Alligator mississippiensis: one gene and its partners. The protein of the gene in region 4 interacts with the protein of the main gene of each other region in a biochemical or structural test. Links are inferred from orthologs where the notes say so. Each region holds a gene or a part of one and is shown on either strand. Other genes may lie near its edges.

What was found.
Region 1: the proteins of LRRK1 (region 4) and GAK form a complex in vitro, tested with the Homo sapiens proteins (2 studies listed by BioGRID and IntAct, with this or other methods). The link is inferred for Alligator mississippiensis from reciprocal best matches to the Homo sapiens genes LRRK1 and GAK.
Region 2: the proteins of LRRK1 (region 4) and CD2BP2 form a complex in vitro, tested with the Homo sapiens proteins (2 studies listed by BioGRID and IntAct, with this or other methods). The link is inferred for Alligator mississippiensis from reciprocal best matches to the Homo sapiens genes LRRK1 and CD2BP2.
Region 3: the proteins of LRRK1 (region 4) and GNAZ form a complex in vitro, tested with the Homo sapiens proteins (2 studies listed by BioGRID and IntAct, with this or other methods). The link is inferred for Alligator mississippiensis from reciprocal best matches to the Homo sapiens genes LRRK1 and GNAZ.

Annotation. Positions count from the first base shown.
Region 1 is NC_081826.1:153,692,416-153,700,036, reverse strand, and holds the start of GAK (cyclin-G-associated kinase), read right to left. Parts: upstream 3,008-7,621; 5' UTR 2,993-3,007; coding exon 2,713-2,992; intron 1-2,712. UniProt on the Homo sapiens protein: Associates with cyclin G and CDK5. Seems to act as an auxilin homolog that is involved in the uncoating of clathrin-coated vesicles by Hsc70 in non-neuronal cells. Expression oscillates slightly during the cell cycle, peaking at G1.
Region 2 is NC_081830.1:657,841-665,145, forward strand, and holds the start of CD2BP2 (CD2 antigen cytoplasmic tail-binding protein 2), read right to left. Parts: upstream 3,012-7,305; 5' UTR 2,832-3,011; intron 2,746-2,831; exon of another isoform or gene 2,505-2,745; intron 2,486-2,504; exon of another isoform or gene 2,390-2,485; intron 2,279-2,389; exon of another isoform or gene 2,166-2,278; intron 2,050-2,165; 5' UTR 2,036-2,049; coding exon 1,961-2,035; intron 1,834-1,960; coding exon 1,707-1,833; intron 1,370-1,706; coding exon 1,212-1,369; intron 960-1,211; coding exon 431-959; intron 348-430; coding exon 232-347; intron 1-231. Other genes in the region: TBC1D10B (TBC1 domain family member 10B), read right to left, coding at 6,308-6,919. UniProt on the Homo sapiens protein: Involved in pre-mRNA splicing as component of the U5 snRNP complex that is involved in spliceosome assembly.
Region 3 is NC_081833.1:19,939,217-19,946,751, forward strand, and holds the start of GNAZ (guanine nucleotide-binding protein G(z) subunit alpha), read right to left. Parts: upstream 3,001-7,535; 5' UTR 2,862-3,000; coding exon 2,139-2,861; intron 1-2,138. UniProt on the Homo sapiens protein: Guanine nucleotide-binding proteins (G proteins) are involved as modulators or transducers in various transmembrane signaling systems.
Region 4 is NC_081834.1:7,133,155-7,141,104, reverse strand, and holds the start of LRRK1 (leucine-rich repeat serine/threonine-protein kinase 1), read left to right. Parts: upstream 1-4,945; 5' UTR 4,946-5,045; intron 5,046-5,283; 5' UTR 5,284-5,381; intron 5,382-7,950.

The DNA of each region.
Region 1 (7,621 bases), on a different chromosome or scaffold from region 4:
TCTTAAAAATGGTTTCAGAGCTGAGAGATCAATTCGTCTCTTAGTAACAAAACAGGAAAGATGTTCAAAGGTCAGAAAATAATTCCTAACTTAAAGTCTGGCAGGAGCAGGAGGAAGAAACTATTTACAATCCTCAGTGCATCTACAAAAAGGATATTCCAGCATGAATATTTTACCCAGGAGAAATTTGCACGCTCATCAGAAAAATGCCAAACATCTTCTGGTGTCAGGGATGTATTTGATGCTTTTGCAGGCAAATGGCTTTTGGACAAGTTTAGAAAGATTAGAGTAAGAGCTTTCAAAAGACAGCTTTCAGCAAGGTTGCTTTATGCCTTGTTACTTGCACAGAGGTCAGATGCAAAGGACACATTCGTGTAAAACTTGACTCTGGCAAGTTGTTTTTTTTTTTCCCTTTCCGAAAGGAAAAAAAAAAGCTGGAATGAGAACCATCTGAGGGGCAAGCCTATGTTTTATTCATGCTGTTTTTTTCTAGTTGCAGCAATGCAAATACTGCATAAATCAGGGTCAGCATTAATTTAGTTACATTGTTAGCAGAAATAAACCACAGGTAAGTCCCTAGGCCCCAAGTTTAATTAAGATACCATAATATATGGTGATTGCCAAGTCATTGACCTGAATACACTGAATTTTAAGCTGCAGTTACAAAAAGCTAAACCTCTAAGAAAAGCTAGCACAAATAGGAAAGTGCTCAAAGTGATCTAATTAGTATTTTGTCCCCAATACAAGAAAAAAGGCCAGTACCAGAACTGTTTAAGTATGAAAACTTTCTTCCTGAACTAGAACTAAACACCAAAGATTTATTTTTCAAGTAGCTTCCTGCCCTTTCTTCTTCCTTATTGTTCCCTAGATGTTAGTACAATAACCCCTTGACTGGAACTTTACAGAATAAGCCGTAACAGCTATATAAAAAACTTGCCATTCAACTAGCCCTTTGAAAATATTTTACAAGTGTTATACTCTGTGACAAAACGATGGCAGTATTGTTTGAAATGGAGTAGCAAATACTGACGCAAGACAAAATTGGAACTTACATTTTAGCTGTTTTCAGTTACTGATCACAACCTGAAAAATTATCCTTTTTGGCTGAATTTTCCATGCTTGGACCAAAGCCAACAGTAATTAAAAGTTATAAGAAGATCTAATTTGCCTTTGAATAATAAGTCAGCAACAAAAAACACTTTCCACTTTATTTTTTGTTTTGGGGTAGGGAATTAGAAACCCCTTCGCCCACATGATCAAAACAATCCAGTTTGGAGAACTGAAACTTTCTTTAGTGGCTAGCCACCAAAAGTTATAAAGGAAAAAAAGAGAGAGAGAGAAAATTACATATGAATGGCTAAGTATCTGAGGCACTAGAAAACTATAGAACAGAGTAAATGAAAAAACAGCTACAGCTTGGGAACTTCTTCTCTGTGAAAAAAAGGAGACCTAACACTAAATAAGGCAGCAAGGTACTACTGAAACCCCACTTAGCAGCAGCAACAATGTGCATAAACTCACCCTGCAGCTATAGAAATATAATCACAAAAGTGTTCAGATTAGCATTTTAACCTTCTCTTCAAAAGAGAAAAAAAAGAAACATGGATGTTAATACAAGACTACAAGAGTTAAAGCTCCATGAGCTCTATTAACTCCTGCACATTAAATATAGGCAACCTTACTACTGTTGCAAAAAGTGCAGTATTTTGTATCAAACAAGTGCATTTCAAAGCAGATACACGTGTGACTCAAAAGGAAACTGCAGACAATAGCAGTGCTAATCTTCACCGGGCATTCCAGGCAAATTAGTTCCTAGAGTCAAGTTATTGTACAGTCAAATCAAGAAGGTATTTCTGCATCTGACCTCTGGCAAGTAACAAGGCACGAAGCAGCCTTGCTGACAGTCGTCTTAGGATATATATTGCCCTGGTTGTTAGATCAGCAGATAACCAAGCGTCTCTTCTCAGTCCTCCCCATTATACCAGACTTTTAAGATTAATTTGATAGCGTTCCTACTTGATAGGACAGACATCAAGGCACAGACTTGGTGAACAGCTGAAACAGTTGGCACAAAAAGCAGTGTATTTTGTTGCCAGGCCAGGACCTTGGATGTTTTCATAGCGAGCTACATTTTTATGCATCTCTCGTACCCAACTCCATCCCCACAACTCTGCAGCTGCCCCTAGGCAGGGTCGGACTGTGAAATAAACTCCCTCCAGAGGTGGTGGTGCAGTCACCTACCCTGAAGGTTTTCATGACAGTCACCTTGCTAGGGTCACCTAACCCTAGTTGTCTTACTGGGTGGGGAGGGGGGGGGTCTGGGCTGGATGATCTGCGAGGTCCCTAACAGGCTATGTATGAATCCAGCCCTCCCTGGAGCCGGAACAGAAAAGCTGGGGTAGAAATAAAGCGTTTCAGTCGTATTTTAACTCTTCACAGGAGCAGGGAGAGCCAGGCTCTCGCTGGCCGCCGGCAGCAGATGGCAGACCGCTCCGGCCCAGCCAACGAGCCCCTCCACCAGCGCCGGCAGGAGCCCACCCGGCCCGGCCCCCGCCCCGGCCCAACGGACGCGGGGCGATCGCTCCCTGGCCGGTCACCCCCCGGCCCAGCCCAGCCCGAGGCGGGCCGTGACCCCGAGGTGGGGCAGGGCGGGGCAGCCCCCCGCGCGCACACAAGCCGGGGCGGGGGCGGGCCGGGCGCGGCCGCTCTCACCCTCGGCGATGACTCGCTTGATCCGCAGCTTCATGTCCCCCAGCTCCACCGTCTGCCCCACGAAGTCGTTCTGGTCGCGGCTGGCGGCGCCCAGGGAGCCGGGCCCCGTCAGAAAGTCCAAGGCAGACTGCAGCAGCGACATGGTCGCGCCGCGCCGCGCCGCGCCGGGGAGCGGGGCTAGCGCCGGGCTGCTGCCGCCGCCTCTTCCGCGAACCTCCAACCGCACTGATCCCTGCCGGCCACCGTAGCTAGTCAGCCACTTCCGGGAGGCTGACGTCATTTATGACCTCACTGCACCTCCCGGCAGCTATGCCCCACCCTGGGCACGAGGGGCTGGAGCGCGGGTTGGGCCGAGGCCGGCGCCGCTGCTGCCCCGGGGTCCCGCCCGCGCATTGGGGGCGGGGCGCCTGCATCTCCTGCCCGCCCCCGGGAGGTCTGGCCTTGCCGGTGCCCGCGCTCCCACCCGCAGCCATGGCCGAACCCACCCAGGGAAGGGGCTATAGGCTGGAGCTGCCCCTGACGCTCCTGCCCGCCTCCTTGGCCGCAGTAGGAATTTGCTCCGAAGAATGAGTTCAGAAATCAGTCCCCGCCGCAGACCGCACCCGGGAGATCCTGTCACGCTGCGGGGGCCCAGGTGGCAGGTTTCCAGCCTCGTTACGTGCAGGCAGAGCCCGCGCGTGCCAGCCGCGACAGTAAGTGCAGCGGGATACAAAACTGGGTCTCGGAGCGAGGTGAGCTCAAGGGCTCGATCGTGGGGGGCCGGAGACTGCAGCGCTGGGCCCCCAGGCCCAATCCTCCAGCACACGGTTCAGTCCTACCTGCAGGTGGGCCCTGCGAGGCTCAGCTGGCCCGTGGGGCCAAAAGCTGAGCACCACTGCTCTAGACGCTTGAGCGAGCTGGACTTGCCAAAGCCCCACAGCAGCATCTCGTTTATTTGATTTATTTTCTGACAACTGAGCCAACGTACCTTTCGTTGCAGAAAGCACTTCTCTTTCTTCCTCTGTACACACTTTTGTTACGTTGGGTAACATCCACACAAATGTGGATTTTTCCATTAGGTTTCAGTACTGGTCTGCAAGTTGATGAGTTTGGGAAATGACTCCCATCTTCTCAATCCTCTTTAATTCTTCCTTGACTTCTTTTTTGCAAACAAATGGGGATGCGTGCAGGAGCTGTCAGAATAAACAGAGTCAGTGATGGTGCCAGTGTCTGTTTGCCTGACTGCCTCACACAAACCTATGAAAATACAGATATTGTATGGTTTGTCTGTTGCTGTTAATCAAGGTCAAATTTCTGGAGTAGGCAGAGACCTTGTATTTCTGGCAACTCCAGTAGGTGAAGTGTTAAGCCTCGTATCACATCGTAGGTTGTGGCAGTTTTCTCTCATTTTTCCAATATCCCTTTCAACTAGCCAGAAACTTCTAATGTAGCATTATTTACCCCAGCTCCTCTGTGGGGGCTTCTTGTACTAGCATCCATCTAGTGTTATTACTGCTAGTCCTCTGTAGTAGTGGGAGCAGAGGACCACAACTCTATGACTAGGGGCCTAATGAACTTGAGGCAGGTGTTGGCCAATTTTGTGTGCAGATCGCGGCAGCCATTTTGGCCAAGCACAGCAAGCCCCTGATGGAACAACAGCCACAGTGGCCCTAGCCCTCACTGTTGATTGTCTGTGAGGGTGGTCCATCATGTGGCCCCTCCCCTTGCCATTGAACAGCTGCGAGGCCTGTCCATCATGCCACCCTTCCCCCTTGTGGATTGCTGGCGGTGGTGAGGCTGAATGATGCACAGCCCTGGCAGCCAATCAGCGGTGAAGGGCGGGGATGACAGCCATCTTGCCCTGCAGCTGTCCTTCTTCCCTTCCCTCCCCACAGTGGGCTGCACAGCCCAACCACAGCAGCCATGAGGACGGCTGGCTCCCCAGAAAGAGACAGCATTTTATTCTTGGTAAGTTTTTTGTTTTTGGGGAGCCTGCCAAAAGCCCAGAGCCTGGCTGAAATCATAGTTTCCAGGAGAATTGCAAAACTGTGATTTCAGTAGGTCACTACCTATGATCACTCCACATGGCTCAGTGAGATGGCTGCCCTCTGAAAGGGAGTGGGCACTGACTTCTAACCTGAGCCTTTATTCACAACTAGCCAATTGCCCATCAAGAATGATGGGCGGGGGTGTGGGTGGGGACAGTGGCCTGCATCTGGCTACCCCCCTGCACCTTCAGGGCCGGGCCTGCTCCCCCTTTCCCCCACTCCGCCATGGGGCCAGGCCTGCCCCACCCACCCTTCCCGCCACCATTGCGGGGCTGGGCCTGCTCCCACCACCCAACCTCCCTGCCACTGTTTCAGCGCCGGGCCTGACCCCCCACCAGCCCTTTGTCCATATTCCCCTCCGTACCACGTGCCCCTTCCCCCATGTGGGGGGAAATGGTGCACAGTCCAGGGAGAAACACGGAGAAGGGGCACACTGTGTGGGCGGAACATCGGTGAAAGGACCTGTGGTGTGGGGGGAACACAGGTGGAGAGGCATGCTGTGCATTGGAGAGGCGTGCACCATGTGTGGGTGAAGGGACACATGGAGTGAGGAGAGTGCAGGGAAAGGACATGGGAAAAGGAGCACTCCACATGTCCCTTCCCTGTGCCCGCCAAACTGCATCCTTTCTCCCATATTCTGCCCTCCACCCTTTCCCTGTGCTCCCCCTACACCACAAGTTCCTTCCCCATGCTTTCCCATGCACCCCCTGCTTGCCACATGAGCCACTTTGGCTCCTTCCAGCGCCATAGTAGCTGCTTGGCTAGCCTATACTTTAATATACTATGAGAGGTTATTTCCCCCATGCTGAAGAGGAGGAAAGACCTCATCTTATTTGAATAAATATGGTATCCCTATGTAGTCTATAATTAAAATTGCCCCCAACTTTTTTTTTATAAGATTTCATTGCAGTTGCTTAGAGGGTGGGCAGATAAGAACAGGATGGGTTTCAACACTGACAAGTGCAAGGTACTGCACCTAGGGAGGAAGAACCAGCAGCATACCTACAGGCTGGGGAACTCCCTTCTCATCAGTGCAGAGGCAGAAAAGAATCTTGGAGTTATTATTGATGCCAAAATGAACATGGGCCGACAGTGTGGGGATGTGGTCAGGAAGGCTAACCGTACCTTGTCATGCATCCACAGATACATCTCAAGCAGGTCCAAGGAGGTGATCCTCCCCCTCTAAGCGGCACTGGTCAGGCCGCAGTTGGAGTACTGCATCCAGTTCTGGGTGCCACACTTCAGAAGGGATGTGGACAGCATTGAGAGGGTCCAGAGGAGGACCACCCGCATGGTCAGGGGGCAGTAGGGCAGGCCCTACTAGGAGAGGCTAAGGGACCTGAACCTAGTGGCTGTTTACAAACTAGTCAGAGGGGACCAGCAGGCATTGGGGGAGTCCCTGTTCCCCCGAGCACTACCAGGAGTGACTAGAAATAACGGTCACAAGCTGCAGAGGGTAGATTCAGACGAGACATCAGGAGACGCTACTTCACAGTCAGGGCGGCTAGGATCTGGAACCAACTTCCAAGAGAAGTGGTGCTGGCTCCTACCCTGGGGGACTTTAAGAGGAGGCTAGATGAACACCTTTCTGGCGTCGTTTGACCCCAGTACTCTTTCCTGCCATGGCAGGGGGTCGGACTTGATGATCTGTCAAGGTCCCTTCCAACCCTACAACCTATGAAACCATGTATGAAAATGTGAATGCCAGATGTCTGCTTCAAGGCAGTTTTTCTTTCAGCCAGAGGTGTAATCCTTTTTAAAATAACAGGAAAATGGACTGTTTCATGCATAGTAAAAAAATGTTTTCTGGAAAAAATCTGTAATCTCTGTGCTTTGGACCAGGGATTTGAAATTTGTCAGACCAGCTTGGTAGCCTTTGCATGAGGAATTATTCATATTTGGCAAAGGAAAACGAGTTCACCCATTAGAGGTGCACCAATACTGATGTACACCCGATAGGTCCGATATCAGATCCTCACCGATATAAAGAAAACCAGAGAATTGCCCATCAAGAATGACAGATGAATTTCGATTAACGAAAACAAACAGATTTGACTTTTTATATTATATAAATTAAATATTTATAAAACTTAAATAAAGTAGGCTGAGCATTTGAAGATACCAATCCCTTCCTGCACTTGCTCTTGTCCAGCGGGCTGGAGGCAGATCTGTCCATGCTGCCATCCAGCTGCCACCTGCATGCCTCTTTGCTGGGCAAGGGCAGGCGAGCTCCGTGCCTCGCAACAGCTGCCCACGCCCCAGGGCTTCCTCTGCGCTGCCCTCAGGCACCTCCTTCCCTGCTCAGGGCTTGGGACAGGACTGTGACTGCTCACCCACTGCCTCACACCTCTGCCCAGCTCACACTTTTCCTCAACTGGCCCCTCCCTCGGCCCCTCCCACCGTGCTGGGTTCGCCCCGGGTGCCTCCTTTCCTGCTCAGGGTTCAGGATGGGGCTGCTACTGCTGGCCTACTGCCTCATGCCTCTGCCCAGTTCCCAGTTTTCTTCAGCTGCCCCTACCTCTGCCCTCCCCATCATGCTGGGCTCCCAGCACCCTTCTGGGAGGAGCTGAATAGAAACAGCCTTGGCCCCTGACTTTTTCCCCAATTCTGGAAGTTGGGATCATCCTGACATGGTTGCTAAACAAATGCTAGGATTTAGTAAAGAAACTTCTCTGAAGACACAAATGTTCTCTCTCTTACAGTTTTCAAGCTATTCACTCCTAAAGAGTGTTATGGACAGATGAACATACGAACTATCCCCCTTTACATATAGAGAATTGGCTGTATCAGAAATCGGCCTGATGAGGCCAGTAATTTGGCAGATAAATTCCCATGCACGTATGCAGCCACAGCGCAGCATGAGGGCAGTGAGGAGCAGAGCC
Region 2 (7,305 bases), on a different chromosome or scaffold from region 4:
TCCTCCATCGCGTTCCCCACAACAGGCGCCTCATCAATGGAGGTGCCCCCCACTAGCATGGCTTCCCCTCACACGTCACATCAACACGGCCCCCCACACGTGTGCAACACCAGTGCGGTCCTCCCCGCCCTGTATGCTGCCAGCATGGGCCCCCCGGCCTGTCACATGCAGCGGGCGGCTGTGGGGCGCGGCCGCCAGGATGCGGCTGAGTCTGGGGCGGAGCCATCCCACCTGCATCTGGCTGCTGCTGAAGGGCCCGTAGAGCTCCGCCCCCGCCGTGTTCTCCCACTTGTACTCCCACAGCACCTCGTCCAGCGCCGCCTCCGCCACGGCCACGGCCCCGCCCCCTGCGGGAGGAGGGCACAGCTCAGCCCCGCCCTCTCACAGGCAACGCCCCCTGCCCCGCCCCGCCCCGCCCCGCCAGGCTCACCAGACTCCTGGGTTCGAAGAGCCGCCTCATCCACCTCCTCAGCAAACATGTCGAGGGTGGGGCCAGTGGGCGTGGCCTGGGCAGAGGGCGGGGCCAAGGCCCGGAGGCGGAGGGCCAGGCGCTCCCGCGTCTCCTGGTAGACGCCGTAGTGGCCCCGTGCCACCATGAGGTCGGCCAATCCCGAGAGCCGCTCCAGCCGGCCCCGCCTCTCGACCTCCTCGGGCGGCTCTGGCTCCGGCTCTGGCTCCGGTGCTGGCTCCACCTCTGCCTGCCGGCCCCGCCCCCGCCCGCGGCCCCGCCCGCGGCCCCGCCCCCGCCCCCTGGGCCGGGCCCCGCCCCCGCCCAAGCGCTGGATGGCCCGAGCCACCGTCTCCCCCGGCCCCACCAGCTCCACCAGCCCCTCCAGCGCCGCCTGGGGGTCTGGGAGGGGCGGGGATTCCCGGCCGGGCTCCGTCCCCTCCGCTTCGGGGCTGCCCCCTCCCTGCTGGGACTGCCCCCGGCGGCGGGCGGGCAGCGGCTTGACAGTCACCTGCGGGGGAGGGGAGGGGAGGGTCAGGGCCCAGCGCAGCCCGCGACCTCCCTCCTACCTTCCCACCCCCTCTCCCCGGGCTCCCCATCTTCCATCCCAGTCTGTCCCAGTTCCTCCCGGTACCCTACAAAGCCCCCTCCTCCCACCCCAGTGTCTCCCAGTGTCCCTCTCCTCCCATCCCAGTTCTCCCCAATGCCTCCCAGTGCCGTTGCGTTGCCCCGCAGTGTCTCCCACTCCTATGCCAGGCCTCACCCAGTCGAGCGAGTCGAGCCAGGCGTCTGGGGGCCCGTCGTCGCCGCGGGGGAAGTAGTTGCCGGCGGCGTCGAAGTGGCCCTCGGCCAGCTCCTCCCGCAGGTTGAAGGGCGTGAAGCGCACCCCCTCCTCCTCCAGCACCGAGCCCGGCTCCTGGCCTGCGTGACGGGCGGCTTCAGGCTCCGCCCACCCGCCAGCCCACCCAATACCCCCACGTCTGTGATAGACAGCATCCAGCGCCGCTGGTAAGCCCCGCCCACAGGATAACCATCCCAGGCCCCGCCCACAGCCACGAAGACCCACCCACTGCACCTGCGGTCCTTAGTAAGGGGCCGCCAGACTAGGCTCCGCCCACCCACCGGTGACGGACAGCCTTCACAACAGGTCCCGCCCCCAGCTACCAAGAGGCGAGGAGCCTCTGGCTGCTGGTTGCGGCCTACCAGTGCAGGCCCCGCCCCCTGACCCCGCAAGCCCCGCCCCTTGACCCCCACTCACCCTCCACGTCCTCCGGGGCCAAGATCCCGCCCCCGGCAGCTTCTTCATCCTCGTCCTCCTCGTCGCTGTCCAATGAGTGCTTCCCCTTGAACCGGCTCCCGGGGCCGCCGGGCTCCGCCTCCTGCACCTATGTGCGGTTAAGGGGCGTGGTCATCGTCAAGCTCCGCCCCCTTCCTCCAGGACTTCACCCCACCTTGAGTACGAGGTGACGCAGCCCCAGGCTCCCAGAGCCCCCCCCCCCCCCCCGCACTCACCCCACGCTTCTTGGGCAGCCCCCCCAGGTCGTCGTCGTCGTCCGGGTCCTCGAACGTCACCTTCCGCTTGGACATGGCGGCCCAGAGCCCTGGGGGCAGGAATGGGGGTGAGGGGCGGCCCCAACCCCCTCCCCCGGGGGGGGGGGGGGGCAGTCCCTTGCTTCCCCCAGCCCTCTCCCTTCTTGGTCCTGTCCGCCCCACGCACAGGTCAGGGCGAACGCGAGGCTGCCGGGAAGCCTCCCCGCCAGGGGGTGCCCCGCCACCCGCTCAACCCAGCCCGGAGGGTGCCAGGGCCTCCAAAGACCCCCCGAGCCCCTAAATGCCCCGGAAACACCCCCAAAGGCCCCTCCCGCGCGCCGCCGCGCACATATGCAAATGAGCGCCCCCAACATTCCAAGCGCCCCCCCCCCACAAAGGAGCCCCGCGCACCCGGGACTCCGCACTCAGCCTGCACTTCCGGGTCGCCCAGCCCCTGACCCCGGAAGTGACCTCAAGCCTCGTCGTCGGACCAGCCCCCTGCTTTTTTCTTTTTTTCATTTCTCACCAGTGAATTTACTGTTTCAGGGATTTAAACAGATTTACTGTTCGAAAACACTAAAAAAAGCCCACAACTTATTTATGGGCGACTTCCGGGTGTGAATCCCCGGATGTGACGTCACACGCTCAGGCCGGCCTCTTTTTATTGGTTTCGTCACCCGCGTGAATTATCTTTACTTGCTGGGATTTAAACCCGGTCTTGGAGGGGTTCCTGCCCCCGGCCAAGTATATATTAAAGGGGGAATACGACTTTCGGGTGCGGGCCGGAACTGACGTCAAGCGAAATTCGCCCTGCCCCTTTTCTTTAATTCCGCCCCCCATTTCTTTTTTTTACCTTATTATTATTTCGAAATTTAAGTTTTTGATTTTTAGGAAGAGACTTGGAAAAAATATCGGGAGGAAGCAGCTTCCGGGTGCGGCCCCTCCCCCTTTTTCTATCCCGTTTTTTATTTCTTCAGTAGACGATTTATTCATTCGTATTTATTCAGTGGTGAGGGGCAAGGAGTGCGGCCGCTGCCAGGACAGGAAGTGACGTCGCTGCGCGTTTGCTTCTCTGGCTTCAATAGGAGGGGGAAGCGTGAGCAGGAATTAAAGGGGCCGCGGGCCTTTTCTTTGGAGGGCAACAAATGGAAGTGACATCAGGGCCTGGCAGTGGGCCCGGTGGAACAAGGGAGGGCGGCAGCGCGAGTAGCTCTTAAAGGGGCAGTGCAACCATTTCTCCATTCTCCCAGACCCCCCATCCCACACATACTGCCCTGCCACCCACCAATTACCCCAAAGTATCCACTCAAGACCTGCCCCTTGAGGGGGGAGGGGGGCCTGCAGACAGCGCCATTAGCATGTGCTGAGGGTGCCACCCCCCACCGCACAGGCTGCTATGCCCCGGGCCCTGCACATGCCTAGGGTTGGCTCTGCCTGTCCCCCCCCCAGTCCCCCAACCCCTCCCCATGGAGCGCAGACCCACAATCTCCAGCACCATCACCAGTAGGCTGCCAGAGCATCACCTCGTGGCCCCCCAGACTCAGTCCCCACCTTCTTAACCCCATACCCAAAGACCCCCGAACCAGAGCTGAATGAGCTCCTGCCCCCCCCGCAGAAAGACCCAGTGACTCTAGACCCCCCACCCCACAGGCCTCAAAGAGCCAACCACACTCAAGAGACTCACCCGCCCCCCAAGGAACTGCACTGTCCGCCACCCGATGCCCTTGAAGACTCAGCGTCTCCTGGCCAGGCCAACCTTGGGTCAGCCCAACCCCGGCCCACCAAACCCAACCGTGGTCACCCCAACTTTAGCACCAGGAACTCAGTGGCCAACACCACAGAAGCCCCAACACCCCTTCAAGCAGACCAGCCCCTCCCCCGCTCTGCAGGTGACCCCGCCCCCAATGCCTTTGAAGAACCAACATCTCCCCACCCAACATCCTTCAAGACCCCACATCCTCCACTCAACCCAACCGACATCCCCCCACCCCTCTCACACCGGATCGGTGTCTCTGCCCCCGCCCTGTGGAACAGAGACTGAATTCGCAGATTGGTTCTTTCATATCGTTTGTATTTTTTTCCTTGTTTTTTTGTTAACGAACCTTTTGAAACCCAAGCGACAGAACAAAAAGATAAACCAATGGATGGGAGAATAGGCACGAAAGGGGAGGGATGGGGGGGGCAGAAATAAAAATCAGAACATCTCCGAGGCGGGGGGAGAGGAAATAAAGGACGTATCATGTAAACATCGCGTGTCCTGATGTGCCTGCCTGGGGCACGGGGGCGGGGGTCAAATGATATTGGGGTCAAAGGGGGTGAGGTCAATGACTTCCAGTGTCTGTCCCTTTAAATTAAGTCATGGCGGAGTATACATAATTACAATATGGAGACATATATATAATATATGTGTAAAGACACGTATATACATGGGACGCAGGGGCACAGAACCCAGACATCTGGCCTCCCAGGCCCTGAGCTATCCCATCAGCCCCCACTCCCCTCTCACAGCTGTGACCATGCCAGGTGAGCTCCCAGAGCTGAGGGCAGGGTTTCCAGTTACGTTTTGGGGGAGGGGCAAGCTCCTCATTGGCCAGCAGCTAGGCCTCAATAAAGCCCACCCCCAACTTCCTGGGGAGGGCTGCTGTTGGGGAACAGGGAGTGTTGGGAAACTTCCCCGCCCAAACAAGGGGGACAGGGGGAATAAAGTCCTCAGCCAATGAGGGCACACCATCTGAGGCGCTCAGGAAGCGTACAGATGGACGCGCTGTCGGGAGGCGATAAAGTTCACCGTCCAATGAGGACGCACCGTCGGCGGGCAGCACGTTGACAGAGCGCCCCCGACGAGGAAGCCAGCGGGCATGCTGTCGGCGGGCAAGAACACTTGACGTTCAATCCGGAAGCGCAAGGCCGGACAAAACGTCTCGAGCCGGCCGCCCAATGAACCTCGCCCAGCGCCCTCTTGGGGAACAAGGGGGCCTAGTCCAGCCCGCCCGCTACGAGAATGGACAAACTTTATCGGGAGCCCAATCAGTGAACAGCAGGCTGCCCAGCCAGGCCCTGCCCCCTTCCTCAAGAACCAATGAACTTTATCGAGAGCCACATTGGCAGACAACAGGTTCAGGGACGGGGCAAATAAAACTTTATTGGTACCCCTGGGGGCCAATATCAGTGCAAAGGAGGAGCGTTCTGTCGCTAGGGATTGTGGGGAGGAGGTGGGATGAAACTGGTTAAATAGTTTAAGGAGGGAGGCGGGGCCTATTTACAAACAGGGGCGGGGCCTCATTGGGTTACTATTATTAATACAATTATCTCCTCGTTAAGACTGGGGCGGGGGTGGGGCAATGCCCCAGTAGCCCTTCGGGAAAGGGGGTGATGTACCTGGACCTCCGCCCCCCTCCCCATTGGTGGGGAGGAGGAGATGGCGGCCATCTTGGTTGATGAGGGAGCCATTTTGGATCAGATGGGACCCCCTCCTGGGGGAAAGAGAGGGAGGGAAGCCATCTTGGGTAAGCAGCAAGCCATCCCAGATGAAATGGAACCATTATTGGAGGCAGGGAAGCCATCTTGGGTAAGCAGGGAAGCCAGGATGGACAAGATGGGAGCCATATTGGCTGAGGGAACCCATGTTGAACTGGAGAACGGACGCCATCTTGGTTGAGTAGGAAAGCCATTCTGGATGAGATGGGAGCCATATTGGATGAGAGAAGCCATCTTGGATGAAATGAGAGCCACATTGGAGGAAGGAAACCATTCTGGATGAGATGGGAGCTGCCTTGGTTAATGAAGTCATTCTGGTTGAATCGGGAGCCATATTGGATGAGGGATGCCATCTCAGTTGAGTAGGGAAGCCAGGAGCCATATTGGATAAGGGAAGTTATCCTGGTTAACAAAACCATCCTGGATGAGATGGTAGCCATATTGAAGAAGAGAAGCCATCTCGACTGAGTAGGTAAGCCATCCTGGATGAGATAGAAGGCATCTTAAATGAGGGAAGCCATCTTGGTTAATGAGGCAGGAGCCCTATTGGATGAGGGAAGCCATCTTGGCTAAGAAGAGAAGCTGAGGAGCCATGTTAGCAGATGGACACCATCTTGGTTAATGAAGCCATCCTGGGCAAGATGGGAATGACCTTGGTTCAACGAGGAGTGAAAACGACTCATTTGGCATAGTGAGAAGCAAGGGGGTGAAAAACATTGGGGGATGGGTGGCCGCCAGGAGCTGAGGGACCCCAAAATGGTTTCCCATGAGTCTCCTCAGCCCCTGATCTCCCCAAAATTGGTCCGTCACCCCTCCTGCCCCTCCTGTATCCCCGGGGGGCAGGGGAAGAGTTCAGAAGTAAGTGTCCTGCAGCGTGGATCCACCTGCCCCGGGCTCCCCGTCCTCCGGGACCACGCCCCCAGATTTCGGGGGCTCCCGGCGACGGAAGGAAGTCTTCTTCTCTTTCTTTTCCTTCTTCTCTCTCTTTTTCTCTTCCTTCTCCCGCTCTTTCTCCCTTTTCTTCTCCTGCTTCAGCCGGGCTTTCTCCTCCTTCTCGCGCTTCTTTTTGTCCTCGGGGCCCACCCCTTTTGTGTCCCGCTGGGGGGGCCCTGCCCCCTTGTGGGGGCCCCCGAGGGGGGCGTTGTTGCCTGTTGGGGAAGGTAAGGCCGGGTGCAGCCCCTCTGAGACCACCTGGCCTGAGGCGGCCGGGGGTGCGGCAGCAGCAGCCAGGGGTGCCAAGGTGGGGCGAGGTGGCTGGGGGCGGGGCTTGAAAGCCAGGCCAAGGAGGCCAGGGCTGGCGCCAGGGGGCGGGTGGAGGCGGTGGCGCTCCTCATGGATGGCGCGTGAGCCGTGCAGGCGCCGGGAGGGCTTGTGCTGAAGCTCGCCCCGCGTCTCCCGCCACTTCTTGAGCTGGGCCCCACTCTCCCGCTCGATCAGGGCCTCTGTCACCGGCAGGCTCACCACCTGGGGGGGAGGGAGGGATCATGGGGGGTCCTAAGGGCATCTGAGCAGCCCCCAGTGCCCCCTTTTGTCCCCTAGCAACCCCTGTCATCCCAGCATCCCCTAACACTCCCCAGAGCCCCAGTACCCCTTAGTAAACCCCTGTATGCCAGCATCCCTTATGAGTCCCTGTAGCAACCCCTTCTGTCCCAGCATCCCCTAGCAACACCCTCCACAACCGCTACTACCCCTTAGCAAACCACTGTATTCCAGCATCCCCAAGCAAATCCCCTCCATCCCCTAGCAGCTCCCCCACATCCCAGACTCCCTTAGCTACTTCCTGTATCCCCTAGCAACCCTTCCACATCCCAGCATCCCCTAGCAACACCACCCACAGCCCCTAGCAAAGC
Region 3 (7,535 bases), on a different chromosome or scaffold from region 4:
AGTAAATTCTGCTTGCCGCTTCACGGTGGAGTCACATGCACCCCTGGTTCACTTTGGTACTTGTGAAACCCTGCAATGTCACACAAATGTTAACGGCTCCTCACTGTGGGTCAGACAGAACCCAAATTCACCCTCATTTATTATGTGACCTGTAGATAAATAAAATTCACAGTAACATGAATTCCCTGTAGGCCTTGGACCCGTTACATTTATAGTGTTATAATTGCCCCTGTAGCATCACATTTGCACCATCTGTAGTGCCACAAAAAATGTTCCCGTTTCAAGCAAGAACTTCTACAAAGCACTAAATTTTGCAGCACTGCACATAACATGTGGCCAGTTACTAGGCCTGTGCAAAGCAGCAAGTATTCAATTCAGATTTGGCTGATTCAAGGGGCAGTGATTGGATTTGGTGATTCGAATCACTGTCCCGATTTGACTGGGCCGATTCAGATTTGGAGATTCGGCTGCCGAAACGGCTACCGAAGCTTCAGACAGCACTAACAGATAGGGATATGTTCCCAGGTGGGGAGGGAGAGAGTGAGGCTGGAACTAGGGAAGGGCTGGGGGGAGGGATGCCATTCCCAGGGCTGCACCGTGCTCTGCTTGTCCCCCTGTGCCTGGGCTCCACCTATCCCCAACTTCCTGTGGCGTGCTGTGATGCAGGCAGCTGGTGTTGGCTGCTCCCAGGGCCACTGCAGCAGGGGCTGGGGGGAGTGGCAGCAAGCGGAGCCCAGGGCAACACAGGGCACAGCACAACTTGTCTGCACTCACCCTAGCCCCCACTGCAGTGGCCCTGGGAGTGACCGGTGCCAGCTGCAATGGGAATTGTTGGGGGGTGAGGGGGCGGAGGCTTCTGTGTTGTGCTGAGACAGCTTACAGAATCAGTTTGCAGCATGTCACCTATGGCTAGGACACACAATATCCACAGCATTACCCTATTCTCTAGAAAATCTCAGCTGTAACAACCATACTATACATGTGGTTATACCAGTTAAGGGTAGTGAAGCATTTCCATAGGGAGCATATTTCATAAGAACCTACCAAAGCCAGATAATTAAATCTGGTAGAAAAGATTTCTTAAAGACAGCTTACTGTAATGCAAGGCGTGAGAACAAACAGAACCTGGAATCTCAATTAGGTTCTAAACTTAGTACACAAACACGCTCTTAAGACAAGTCCCTCCCTAGCTTCACTGAGGAGCTGCTTCTACTGTGAAATAGCTGGACATGCAGCCTTCTGAAGGGCTCCAGGGCCTGCCCTGCAGTGAAAAAGTTCTGCAAAAGCAAAGCAACTGAAGATGTGTGAAGGACTGGTAGGAAGGGGGTGCATCGTTGGATAGGCAGACATATTTTCATGGGTTTCATTTTAATTTCTCCTGATGGATAGCTGTTTTAAAACTGAAATATGGGTCACCGAAGACCCGGGAGCTAAACCGTTAAATATTCTTAGGAACACATTCATTTTTTCCTTAAACAGCTTGTGCTTTTATAGGACTATAATAAAAGAAATTTAAAAATTCAAATAAAACCATCCCATGGTCAAGTCAAGCAAGCTGAGTGCGAAGGCAAACATGTTGCTGTATATGCAAGTGTGGCACACATTTCTATAGTTACTATATCTGTGTGCTAAGCAAGCTGAAGGCTAATGTTAGTATCAAAGAGAACTCAACAGGAATAGCTGTGAATCAGACAATGAGTAGAAAAGTAGCTATGTAACAAAATTATCCACAAAACAGACTTCTCATGACAATTTCCATGCCATTTAAAAGGACATTTGCTGGAACATTTCATAGGGATTCTGTATTCTGTAAAACAGTCCATAGGGGGAAACTGATTACAAACAAGAGGCTGTCAAATACATAAACAAACATTTTCTGTGAACTTTTCAGTTAAAACTTTTAACCCACACATCTTGCACTGTTGTGCCAGCTGAAGAAGTCCTCCTCTTTCTGTTGACAGCATTAAAAATGGAAGCTGTTTCATGCTTAGTGACTGCACAAAGAAAAGATTGTGGATACAGTGTATACTGCTGGGCAACTTATGCATATGCATAGAGCCTAGGACAAGCGGGGTAGGGCCCTCAGACATTACTCATTACAAATAAAGCAAACACGGAAAAGAGCAAGATGTACTCACCGTTTGGTTATCCTCATACAGCTTCAAGTCATACCCACTCAGCTCCACGCAGAAAATTATTGCTGTAACCCCCTCAAAACAGTGGATCCATTTTTTGCGCTCAGACCTCTGCCCACCCACATCCACCATTTTGAAAGTCAGCTCTTTGAAGGTAAACTTATTTTCCACAATCCCTGTGGTCATGTCCCGAGAGCGCAGAATATCTTCCACTGTAGGAATATAGTCCAGGGCTGCAATCCTTTCTAGGTCATTCAAGTAGTATGCAGCATTATCCTCTAGGTGGTACTCATTGGAGCGACAGAAACACTCCTGTACACCAGGGTCTGCCCAGAGCCGTTTCATGACCCCTAGAAGCTCAGGAGTAATTTCTCCTTTGCTTTCAGCTGGGCCTGTCAGGGCAAAAAGCTGCACAGCATCATAGGCTCTGTCTGGATTGTGGAACTCTATCTTAAGGGTGGCTAGAGCACGAATGATACGCGTTAGAGAGTCAATTGCATTATAGATAATCAGAGGTTTATACTCCTTGCAAGCCTCCAAGTTAAAGCCGCCACTGTGAATGATTTTCATTTGCTTGACAATAGTACTTTTGCCAGAGTTGCTAGTACCCAGGAGTAAGAGCTTGATCTCTCGTCGCTGTCGTTGGCTTTCAGAGCGCAGGTGGCGGTCAATCCTCCGGGACCGCCTCGCTGCCTCTTTCTCCTCAGAGCTTTGCCTACATCCCATGGTACAGCTGACTATTGCAGAAGAGGAGGACTAAAGAGTCTCTCTCTTTCCTTCTCTGTCTCTGAACAAGAACTGCAGTATCTTTCAATTCTCGTGCCAGGTGCACCCTGTAGAAAAAAAAAACCCACTATCCAATAAGTGATGGCCCAAGAGGCCTATACCAACTAGTTCAGTCCCAGAAGGGGTGCAAAAACAGGTACAAATGCAACCACAGAGATAGTCTCCTTAGTAGATCTCATGGCACTCCCCTTTCCTGTGGCACATTCCTATTAATGAAAGGACACTTCCCTTTTCCACAGTGTGGCCGGATCAGTTAAATAGCCTTTTCTTTTCTGCATAATTATTTTGATTCTTTCTGTCCAAAGGTAAGGAGCTGCAGTTTCATCTGTTCTGCTTTAGCCCCACTTGTCTTTTAATTGTATTTTCCGGTTGCTGTGGTGATGTTGCTAGATAGAGCTGAAGCTCTGGTACAGTCTGGTGCTGTGTTTGTTTTGTTTCTCCCCCACTTCTTTCGGTTGATTCAGTTCAGATCTGTGAATCTGTGCTCTCCACCTGTCAAGCAGAGACAGAAGAAATTAATGAAATTGGGGGGCGGGAGGGGGAGAAGAAGAGGGGAGGGGACTATGTTTCCTTGTTGCAAACCATTCACTTTTTGTTTGCTTCTGGCATTTCTGAACCTTTTATCATCCCAAACAGACAACCCAGATGGAAAATGTGTAAAGAGAAGCAATAAAAATCTTGAAACAGCAAAAATTCAGGGACAGCTGAAGTCTGAAGACCTTACAAAATGTGTGCCCTGAACAATAGTAAATCAAATTCCCTTTTCTTTCCAGCCTTCTGTGTTTTATTATCTAAACCTACATGCAAACAAATAGTGCTGAGCTGTGTCCCAATTTCTCCCTCAGCAAGAGCTGATGGCAGCCCTTTCCTGAACAGCCCTGTTCTGACCGGTTTTCCCAAAGTGGAGAATGTGAGATAGATTTACAGCTATTTTACCCAGTCTTGGTATTTATATTTCTATCAGTTTCTGGCAGTCAGATTTGTGTACACAAATGTCCTCCTAAGACTTCCCTCCCTCCCCCATCTTTTCTGTCCATTTTGCGTTGGAACATTTAGCTTTTGCAAATAAATGATGAAACAAAAGGAAGGGATTAGGTTTGCCTCCAGGTTTTGTGAAAGGGTTTATATATGACAGGATACAATTATTGATCTTTGCAGGAATCCTTGCTTCCCCTTAGAGTACAATTGTCTTGTTGCATCCTGCTTAATCAATGGAGTGATGCACTAGTCAAACAAAATCTTTAAGGGATTTGCTTCCCATAGCTATCACATTTATTTGTTTATTCCCCTTGCTTCCAGTTTCACTGCAGTAAAACTGATGTGCCATTAATATATGGCAGGCATTTCATACACTACACACGTGAAAAATATCCAATAGCAATCCTCCTATGGGAGTTCTTACTGACCAGGTCGTGTCCTGCTAAATGTGATACTCAGAAAATAGGTTCAGGGGAACACTTTTAAAGGTGAAGAAGCCATTGTTTTTCAATGAAAATAACATTCTTATATGACATTTTCAAAAGTCTCTTAAGCATGTTAGGTGATTTTAAAAATTTTATCCTGAATTAATTTGCTAGAGTTTCCATATAAACAGGACAAGACACTACAAAATGTATTAAAGAGAACACAGTCCAGCAGTGGCCGTGGGATGCTCAGGGCCTGCTGCGGCCAGAGCCCCACCATGGCACAGCGTGGCCCTGGCTGCCTCAGAGCCAGTGCTGCCTGTGCTGCCTCTTGTGGGCCTGGCCCAGCGGGGCCTGGTTCAGGGCTGTGTGCCTTTGGGCAGCTCCAGGCTGCTTGGGCCGTCATCTGGGGTCCGGTGCCATTTGCAGGAACCGCACGTTGCGCCGGGCCACATCCTGCCTCTATGGAATCAGCCCGGCCTGGCTGTGTGTGGGGCCCGTGGAGGCAGGTCACGGCCTGGCATGACACGTGGTCCCTGTGAGCGGGGCAGGGCCCCAGGTTCCAGCCCAAGTAGCCCAGAGCTGCCCGAAGGCACACAGCCCTGTGCCATGCCGTGTTGAGCCAGGCTGGACCCGCAACAAACAGCATGGGCGGTGCTGGCTCCAAGGCAATCGGGGCTGCGCTGCGCCATGGTGGGGGGCGGCTCTGGCTGCAGCAAGCCCCGAGTGCCCCACAGACACTGCTGCTGCAGGGGAGAGCTGTGGCTGCTGCAGGCTCCTGTGGCTCCCATGGGGGGGGCTTTGGGCCGTCTGTGAGCAAAAGGGGCAGGGACAGCTCTGATTTTCTATGACAACCCCCACCCCCTGCCAAATAAATGCCAAAACATTTAGTTAGAATTTATTTGATGATGATGATAGAGGCACTGGCTTCCAAATTGTTTTAAACTTGTATATATCAATAAAACACTGCTCAACTGATCCCTCTCTACATAGTGGTGTTTCATTTTAATAGTGGAAGAACACTATTTTGGGTATTTTAATGACAGAATTGGGGTTTTTTATCAGAGGATTTGCAATTTTTTAACAGAGAACACCAGGATCTCTGCTGGTGAGACAAGTTGTGAGACCCATGCAGAGGAGCCTATCCAGAGCCAACACTGGGGATCCAGCTGGAGGGCAGACGAGGTGGCTGACCTCTTGCCATTTGGGGGCAAGAGGAGACACTTTGACAGTTCAAAGCAGGCAACCACAAGAAGTACATCTTCTGGGGGATACCTGCCCAGATGGCAGAGCAGGGGCACCCCATCTGGGTCTGGCAGGCATGCAGCCATGGGGTCACAGGTCCATGGGGGGTGGATGCTGTCACAGGTGGCAGCAGGTCACAGCCAGGCAGCAGCCCCCTGCTGCCAGACTGCTGCAGTAGGTAGAGGGTGCAGGGGCCACTCTAGGTTAGGGCTGTTTCAGCAGTCCAGCTGACACAAGGGGCTAGTGTCCCCAAATACCAACTGGCTGCACCGCAGAACCCCCTGAGCTGCTCATCAGCTTTTTATACTGCCGGGGCCAGCACCGGTGGCCCCAGGCTCTAGCTCCCCCTGGCAGCAGGTCCAGGAGGAGCTGGACAGGGTTTTTTTGCCTCAAGTGGCACAACCTGCCCACACCAAAGTGCATGTCCAGGCACATGCGCCGAGGCAAAAATCCCCAGCAAATTTGTACCACTCTTATCTGAGCTGCTGCAAGCTCACGTGCCTGCATGTGTGGACACACCCACTAGAGGCATACAGAATGTGCATACAAAAGTGAAGAGTGGCAACAAAAGTTTTTACTAGCACCCAGTCAAATTCAACAGATGACAGACAATTGCATCCTTTTTCCTGAGGCTGTACTTGCTTTTGCCGCCTTTGTATGCATCTTTACATCCATGCTTGACCCAGACTGCTGAAAGGAGATGGAAGACCGAATAAGTGTGGACACTAAAAACCCAGTGCCCTCAGGAAGTTTACAAAGAGTCTTTATGGCAGCAGTTCTCAAACTTGTAGACTCAAGGCACCCCATGTTAGACTCAGGGCATCCCTTGGAAAATGCCAACTCTTATTTTTTATGCTTTTTTTGAGTATAGGAAATTAATAACTCTGTATTTCTAGCTGAAATATATGGGTTTATCCTGTGAATCACATAGTGTTAACATCGTGCGACACCCTGGTTAAAATCACTGTTTTATGGGTTAGGGTTAGCATTAACAGCAGAACTACATTGAGGAGTGTGTCCACTCATCTACCCCGAGTAAGTAATATCCTGCACTTGTTTCAAAACTCTGACTACAAAAGGCATGAAGGAAAATGGTAGAGACCCATACTGAACAGGTTCCTGCCTCACATTCCCAGTCCAGTGTTAGAAAGCACATTTCTAAACTAGCTACTTATTCACCTGCTCTGCGGAGGATATCCATAACACTGTCTTCATAGCTTCCTTGTTGCTATTTAAAAAAATGCCCGTTTTCTTTTGCTTAATTGCTGTGCTCTAGCACCTGCTCACATGCTGCTTCCACACCTCCAGATGTGTTGGATAATTGTATTATTGCAGGCTCCTCTGTTAACTAGCTCAAGATGAAACTTGTCACCCACTGTCTTCTTTCTCCATCCCTAAGTAACACTTCCACATGGTAAGAAAATGGAAGTGTGAACAGAAATGAGGCAGAGTACGAAAGGCAGGGTTTTAAACCTGGATGTAATGTGACAGCTTTCTGAAAGTAGCCATTTCATTTATTGATGTATTATTTAACCAAAAATTTTAACTAGTGTTTTGCTTGGCTCAGTCTTACAAAGGTGATATAATCCCAGAGAATTAATTTGGAGTATACTGTGCTGCAAAGACACTAACAGAAGGCCTTAAGTTCACAGTGCTTCTCTACTCACTATCTAGTCTGCTGAAAGAGTGCTAACACCGCTGTTGCTACTTACCTTGCTCTCCTTTACTCCCTCTCTCAGCAATTGGATACGGCCTTGGCACATACTAAACTCATTATGTACAAATGATCAGGACCAAATGAAAATGATACGGCTTGTATTAATAGAGCAGTAATTAGCATAACCATGTTTATTCTGGCAAATTCAAACACACGACTGTAGAAAAAAACCTTCACTGAAATGTATATTATACTATACATTCGTCACAGAAATAGTTTTGCCCGGTGGTATATGAGACAGGACTGATG
Region 4 (7,950 bases):
GCATTACAGGGAGTCGGCTTTTATCAAACGGTGCCCTTGAAAGCAATATTACTTGCCCAGATCATGTTTGAAAGACCTTGGGCTTTGTTCACGTGGACTGTTCCTGCATTGACGTATGTGGGCCTTACTTGGAGTAAATGAACACAGCTCCATTGACTCAATTGGCATTGCTCCTGCTGGTAGTGGGAGCAATGCCACTGAAGTCAAAGGAGTCTGTCAGGTGCGAAGACGATAGCCCATCTCCTGCTGTCGGGGGGAGCGTGGCTGTGTGTGCATGGGAGTTTTGAAGCACTTTTATCAGAAGAGTTACCTTTGCTTTCTCTCATGCACATGCAACCTTGAGGCAGGTGGAAGCCTGGCCCTGAGTGACATCAGTTGGAGTTTTCTTACACACTTCCACGGGGCCAGGATTTCACAGGCTTAAGATCCACGTGTTCTTTGCTGCCTGTCTCTTGGTGCACGCACTCTGCAGGCGCTGAGAGTACAAGTCATTGACTCCATAATCCACCTGGCTCCAGAGTCGCTCAGATCACAAGTCATTACTTCGGCACTTTTCACAAGAGGATTTTGCACTGCATCTACCGTAGTGACGTCACCACTGAGGGGAAAATGGAAACTGGAGCTGAAATCTTCTCGGAGGAGAGGAAAGATGGAAAGGCAGCCTAGTTTGCCTTGTGCTTCTTTCGCTGTCCTTTGGATTCCCATGCGCGAGGTTCATTTTGTTCAACCAGATCTGTTTTTGAGGTTGAACAAAATTAGAAAGCTCCCCTTCCCCTGCCCTCCCCATACCCCCAATGAATGTAGCTTAAACTAGACTCTTCAAAATACACAATGAGAGAGAAACTGCTCCCAGGCTGGGACTCTCATGTTTAACTCCCAGTATGTTTTTGAGAGAGAGAGGACCTGATCCTTTGGTAGCTCCATGGCTTGGTCCTCCAGGGTCTGAGTTGGAGGATACTATTGAAGAACCTGATTGAGATGCACCTTGTCTGAAAGCCCAGGGTGAGAAGGGAAGTTGCCAGTGGTGTGAGCTTACTTCCAGAGGCCCCAAACTGGATAGCACTGCCCAAGATGGGACTTTGGTTAGGGGGCAGGGGATGCTCTGATTGAACTGCCTATTCTGGAGAGGCTTCCCAGAGAACCGTTGACTAAGAGTGAAGGTAAGGAAAGTCTGATGGGCAACCACTGCACCCACACACTGTCAGAGCCCCGCTGGCTTCCACGCAGCACTGATGAGGAGGACCCCGAGGTGTCGGTGGGAGTCCTGCAGGTGGCTAAATAGCAAGTGTCAAATACTAGGGTCTTGAAATGGAAATGCAGGCTCGCTATGGCAGTGCAAGGCCAGAGCAAGAAACTATACGTGTCCTCCAACGTAATTAAGAATTACTCCCACGCTGCTATGCTGGGAGACCGGTTTACTTGGACCTGACCTTCCTTAAGAGCCAGCAAGCCTTGAAAGAAATGAGGCTTTCACACTTTAACTTCTTATCAATGACCTATCCCCAGTAGCTGTATGCTAGGGAGCATCTTTTCTCCTGTGAGGCAGGATATCCACAGATGAATCTTTCTCCCTGAAACAGAGAGACTTCCTCCTTCCTCCCCGAAAGTCCAAATGGGAAAACTGTAAATAGTCTTCTGTTTTTTGCAATGTGTAGCAAGGAAGCCTGAGCGCTCCCTCAGAAATCATTTTCACCACTGCTTAGTGAATGGGCTTTTAGCATCCAAAGCTAGAACTAGACACAAGGCAAGTATGTGATCAAGTCAGGCAAGAAGATTAGTAATCAATGTAGCTTTCTGTATTTCTTCGTTTGACAAACATCTTAATGAAATTGTATGTTTTCAGATGTCACCATATTCTTTTTAGTATGGTTTTTATACATATATATATAAAATACGTGTGTGTGTATATATATAAATATATACATTTCATCTTTCCTCCTTTTTTCCTATCAACTTAAAATAAATGACTTAGTAATGTATTCTCTTATTGTATAAATCAGGGTTTGGCTTGACACACTGAATTTTCTAAATTATATATCTAATAACAGTAAATACTAACTTTTAAAATGACCCACGAGTGGGTATATATTCTTCCATTGCACAGTAATGCTTTTTATATGAAATGCTACTTTTAAATATATATATAAATATATAAACTAGGTTACAGTTATTCTAATGTATTTTTATAGCTGAAGGTACATGGAAATGCTAAGTTTTAAACCTCATGTATATAATATAGAATATTGGGTATCTTTTTTGTAATGTTAGCTTTTCAAGTTTTAATAAAAATGGTTAACTTTGTGGTACAGATTATAGGTGTGACATTTAACATCTTGCCCAGTAAAAAAGTACGGGGGGGAAATCTGATTTCACTCCCAAAGGTAAGTGTGGCTCCCTTTGTATTAGAAGATATTGGAGTTTGTCCTATTATCAGGCCAAATGCTGCCTTGAGATAAGCTTTATGTCCTTTACTGAGGCTGTTGTGCTCCCTAAGACCTTCCCCTGACTTCCTTAGGCTCTGACTTGCTGGTTATCCCCTCCTTGCCCTTCACGCAGTCTGAATTTGGGCCATTGTCAACAGAATTGAACGTTGTAGATGGGTCAAGCGCTCCTGCTCCTAGAACAAAATGCCCCTGTTGTGCTATAGTAGCAGCAGCCTGTCTCCTTGAGACCGCGTGCTGTCTGTCCCCCTGGTATCCAGTCTTCCCCAGCGGGTTTCCAAGAGCAGAAAGTCGTGCTGAGCTCACAAAAGGGACAACCGAACACTGAACTACCTTCAATCGGAGAGCACCGTGTCCACGATGATACTGGATTACCAGCGTGGGTGAGCAGGGCACTTTCTGCCAATGCAGAAATGCGTTGGCATGGGCCAGTGCTGTATAAGTGAAATAAGACAGCTCTTCCAACCAGCTTGCCCCCTGTGGGGTCAAATCCTGCTGGCCTTACTTGCTAGTCCTATTGACAGCAGGCTAGGATTGGGGCTGCTCCAGCCTTTCTCCATCTGCAAGGTGGTCTACGTCCTCGCCTGGCAGAAGTGGGCATAGTTTGGGAGTGGAGACCCAGCCTTACAACTCCACACTGATTTAAAGGGCATAAAGCCCAAAGCCAGAGAAGTGCTAAGACTGCTAGTGGGGTGTTGGTTGTTGCCGTGTTGCTCTACAGACGTGGGCAGACTCGTGGGAACGCAACGCAGGAAGAAGGGGTTGCCATTAAGAGCGCATCTTAGCTGAGCATCTGGAGAAAATTCGTGCTTATCTACATCAGTCTGTCAGCACAGAGATGGGTCCTTGGTTTTATTCTGTGTCTTCAGAGAAACCTGCTGCAGAAAGAGTTTGCAGGTGGGGATTTGTCTCTATAAGCCTGTCTCAAGCAGGGAAAGACGGAGGCCTGAGGGGGTAGAAGAAAAGGCAATGAGTAAGAGACTGGGTAAGGGCAGGATTAAGAACAGAGATGAGTTTGCCTTGCTCCTCCTGGCTCTTACGACAGTAGCAGTTGGATTTGGGGAGTGGAGGCTGCCAGGAGAGCTGTCTGATGTGGTGCAGCTGGGACCGAGCTCCCTCAGCTGCAGGGATTTGGGGTCCCAGCTGCACCCTGGGGGCAGCATGCGGGTGCGTGGAGCACCTCCACATCCCTGTGGCTGGGAGATCACATTGGCTGCCATCTCCCAGCGCCCTGGAGGTGGCAGCAGCTGGGGTCTCCCCACCCACCTCTGTCTACACGTGCACCTTGAATGGGGGGTGGAAATAAAGGTTTTCCAGCAATAACTTTATACCTGATTGGAGTGTTTTAAGGTGGGAGAGATCAGTTGCAAGTGTAGCTGGTCTACGTTTTATGGTACGCTTGGCTGGGTAATTGTGCAATAAAGTGTGTGTGTGGATGAGAGACTGAGATGGTGTGTAGACACGTGTAGGAATAGAGTGGGTGTGTGCGGGGGTAATCGAGTGTGTGCGCACAGATGAGAGACTGAAACAGTGTGTACACATGGAATAGTGTGTGTGCATGTGTGTGTATGGGCACTACAGAAAGTGTGTGCATGTGTGTAGGCAAGTGTGTGAGTGCACAATAGTTTGTGTGTGTGTAATAGTGTGCATGCAGGCAATTTGTGTGTGCATGTGCGCAATAGAAAAAGTGTAGGCAACAGGGTACGAGTGTGCACAATAGTGTATGTGTGTGTATGCAGGCAATCTGTGTGTGTGCACAATAGAAAAGTGTAGGCAATAGGGTGTGAGTGTGCACAATAGTGTATGTATGTGTAATAGCGTGCATGCAGGCAATTTGCGTGTGCAATAGAAAAAGTAGGCAATAGGGTGCGAGTGCACAATATGTGTGTGTAATAGTGTGCATGCAGGCAACGTGTGTGTGCATGCGCGCAATAGAAAATGTGTGTAGGCAATAGTGTGTAAGTATGCACAATAGTGTGTGTGTAATACTGTGCATGCAGGCAATTTGTGTGTGCATGTGCGCAATAGAAAAGGGGTGTGTGTGTAGACAATAGGGTGCGAGTGTGCACAATAGTGTATGTGTGTGTAATAGTGTGCATGCAGGCAACGTGTGTGTGCATACGCGCAATAGAAAATGTGTGTAGGCAATAGTGTGTGAGTATGCACAATAGTGTGTGTGTAATACTGTGCATTCAGGCAATTTGTGTGTGCATGTGCGCAATAGGAAAGGTGTGTGTGTGTGTAGACAATAGGGTGCGAGTGTGCACAATAGTGTATGTGTGTGTAATAGTGTGCATGCAGGCAATTTGTGTGTGCATGTGCGCAATAGAAAAAGTGCGTGTGTAGGCAATAGCGTGTGAGTGTGCACAATAGTGTGCATGCAGGCAATTTGTGCGTCTGTGTGTACGTGTGTGCAATAGAAAAAGTGTGCGCGCGGGCAATAGAGAGAGCAGGAGCGCGCCGGGCCGTGCTGGGCGGGCCGGGGGCGGGCCGACGTGCGGCGGACACGCCCGGCCCGGCCCGGCCCGGCCCGGCCCGGCGCGGCGGGGAGGAAGCGGGGCTCTTCCGTGGGCGCGCCGCCCGGCTGCCCGGCCGCGGCTGCAGGTAGGAGCGCTGCGGAGGAGGGTGGCGGCGCAGGGCAGGGCAGGGCAGAGCTGCCCCCAGGGCCCTGGGCGGCTGCCGCGCGGAGCAGGGGCCCCTGGGGGGACAGCGCGGGGTGGGTGTCACGCAGGGGTGCGCGGAGAGCCAGGAACAAAAGCTCTTCTGGATGGAAACCAGAAAACGAGCTTTCCTCCAAAGCCCCCAGGTACCCCCCGGCTGACTCCCCTTTCTCCTCTTGCAGCATCCGTCCCTTTCCTCTGGACGTCGTTCCAGCGGCAGCGCACGGTGCCCAAGGCGCGGGCCCGCGTCCCGGGGAGCCGGCCGGTGCACAAGGGACCCGTAAGTCCATCCAGATCGGCGAGGCCGCCCAGGCGACGCCCGAGACGCCCTGGCAGGACCGCAGGCCCGGGGCCGGCGCAGCCTGTTGCAGCGCGGGAGGAGCGAGCGAGATGAGGGGCAGAGTTTGCGGGAAGGGGAAGAGCTCCAGAGCAGCCTGGGTGGGTGGGTGTCGTCCGCAGCAAGCGTCCGTTCAAAGGGAGCCGAAGTTTGGGCTCCTACCAGGTGCCACTTCCTAAAAGCTGGCAGTGGAAAGGAAATCCTTTAAATACAAAGGGAAACTACTTTGTATCCAGTAGCCTCTACAGTAACCCCTGGCCCTGCTCTGGAGTTTTTCGTGGTGCAGAGCAGTGACAATTGATAACCCCTGGTTTTACTTTTCGCACGAATCTCGGAGCGCCCCATAAGCAGTGATTAATTCAGCGCTGCGTCTCTACGCTAACCAGGGCAGTTCAGCCAGATTCAAAACGGGACCAGAGGCGTTCGTGGAGGGAAGGTGAATCAGCAGCCACAGAGCCTGGGAGTGAGGCTTCTGAATCAGGGCTTCCTGGAGCTTGAGTGCTGGAGGCTGCAAGCGAGAGGAGCGGTGGAAAAAAGCATCCCCGTTCACTCTCCTTTTCAGCATCCGCTCTCTGCTGCTGTGACACAGGAGGCTAGGCGACACAAGGGGCTTGCTAGCATTCCCAAGTCATTGCATCTTGGTTGTTATTTCCTTGAACGGGCCCAGGGCGGGTTACTTTTCATTGTGTCTCTGCTCCCGTGGCAGGAGCGGTGCTAGTGGCTGCCAGTATTTTATGGGATGAATTAAGCTCGTGCCACGGTCTTTCGGCAGGGAGCTCCTGGTGTTCCACGAGGAACCCGGGACTTCAGGGGACCTTCGGAGCCATCGAATCCAGGTCTGAGGTTGACAGATGTAGCAGAGATTTTGCCCTAACATTGCACCAATTTACCTTCTCTCTTGGAAAATACTTCTCTGCGTGGGGCTTCATCCTGCCTTCTGCAGTCATCCGATGAGCCCTCGGTCGGCTGGTTTGTTCATCCACCTCATTACCCCATGTTAGTGCCCATTGTAAGATGCCTTTAACTCTATCTTTGGCTTCGAAGAGGGCATGACATTGTTTGGGAAGGCAGTGAGATCTGACGGTTTAAGCAGGGGCCTCCTGATGTTGCTCTGGAGCCTGGACTTGGTGAGCGATATTAGGCAAGGCATGCCCCAGATTACCTATAACGTGGGTATGGCACAGAGGGCCAGTGTTATGGAGAGGCTTAGTTAACCGTTGTGAATTGCTCGGAGAAGCTGGGAATGCAAAGCTATTTATTTTTAAAAGCCTCCTGGACTTTGGACTCAATCTGAACTCAAGCTGTCTGCCTGCCAGGAAGTCTCCGAGGAGAAATTGGGAAGCTTGCAAATAGCATCTAAATCTGCTTTAAAATATATCGCTTCCTGCTTTAATCTGGCAGAGTGGATACTGCAGCACCTTGGGCAACATCCACTGGTTATTGTTGCGTATTCAAGAGAAAACCTTATGTCACAGCTGAGACATGGAGCAGTAACTTAAAGGTATAAAACATGACAGGGATGTTGCATCTTGTTCCCCGATCAGTAACCTGGGAAATTCAGGGCACATGCTGAAAAGAAATTCAAAGGTGGGAGAGTTTAAAGATGTGCGGTTGGATCACCTTAGCACTGCCTTGCATTGCCTTCTGCAATAACGCAGTTACGGAGAGGACAGGTTTGTATTCCTGGCCTCGGACGGGGGCAAACTGACTTCTTCCGCACCATGTATTCCAGAACGATTTCCTGCGGGGTCTCCATGGGGCAGAGCGAGGGAGTTAGTGGCACATTTGGAAATTGTGTCCGGGGCAGTTTTCACCCACCTGCAGTTAGTGGTCACTGCAGACTACACAAGTTGCAGCATGGCATCTAATTTTTCCCCCCCCATGATTGCTAACATTGTTTTAGGGGGAGGAAAATGTCACGTAAGACTGGATGTCTGCTGCGGGGGGGCTGTGGGGCCAGTCTCTGCTTTGCAAGAGGACGTATTCACCCTTGCTGTAATTCCTCAGCGGAGTTGTAGAGGATGATTTATTTGATGTTGCCAATACTGTGGCAGTGCCGCCTCCCACCCTCCCCACGCATACCTTCTAAACCTGAGACATCAGTAGGCGCCGTAGGGAGAAGATGGTCCTCGGTGCTAGTAGTTTTGCAGATGCCACGTTCAGTGATTTGGCAAATATTTTTGCCTTGTTCCAGGCTTTCTTAAAAGAGCAAAGCAAAGGTGGTGGTGTGTGCAGTGACCACTGGGTGATCTCGCACAGCGTCACATATTCACCCTCACCACAGCTTCTGATCTTGCTAGGGTCCCCAGGCAAGAAAGAGGAAGATCGATCGGGGTGAATCCAGGATTTGGCCATGCTGCTCAGGTGGCTGCACCCCCTGCTCCCAGCCTCCTCCCCCCACCCACTGGTGTGCAAAGACAACCCCACCAGAGACGCTGGGGACTTTTTTGTAAGTCCCCCAAAGCACGTCAGACTCCCCCCTTCCCCTCCAGGCTTAAAGGAACGCTCCCTC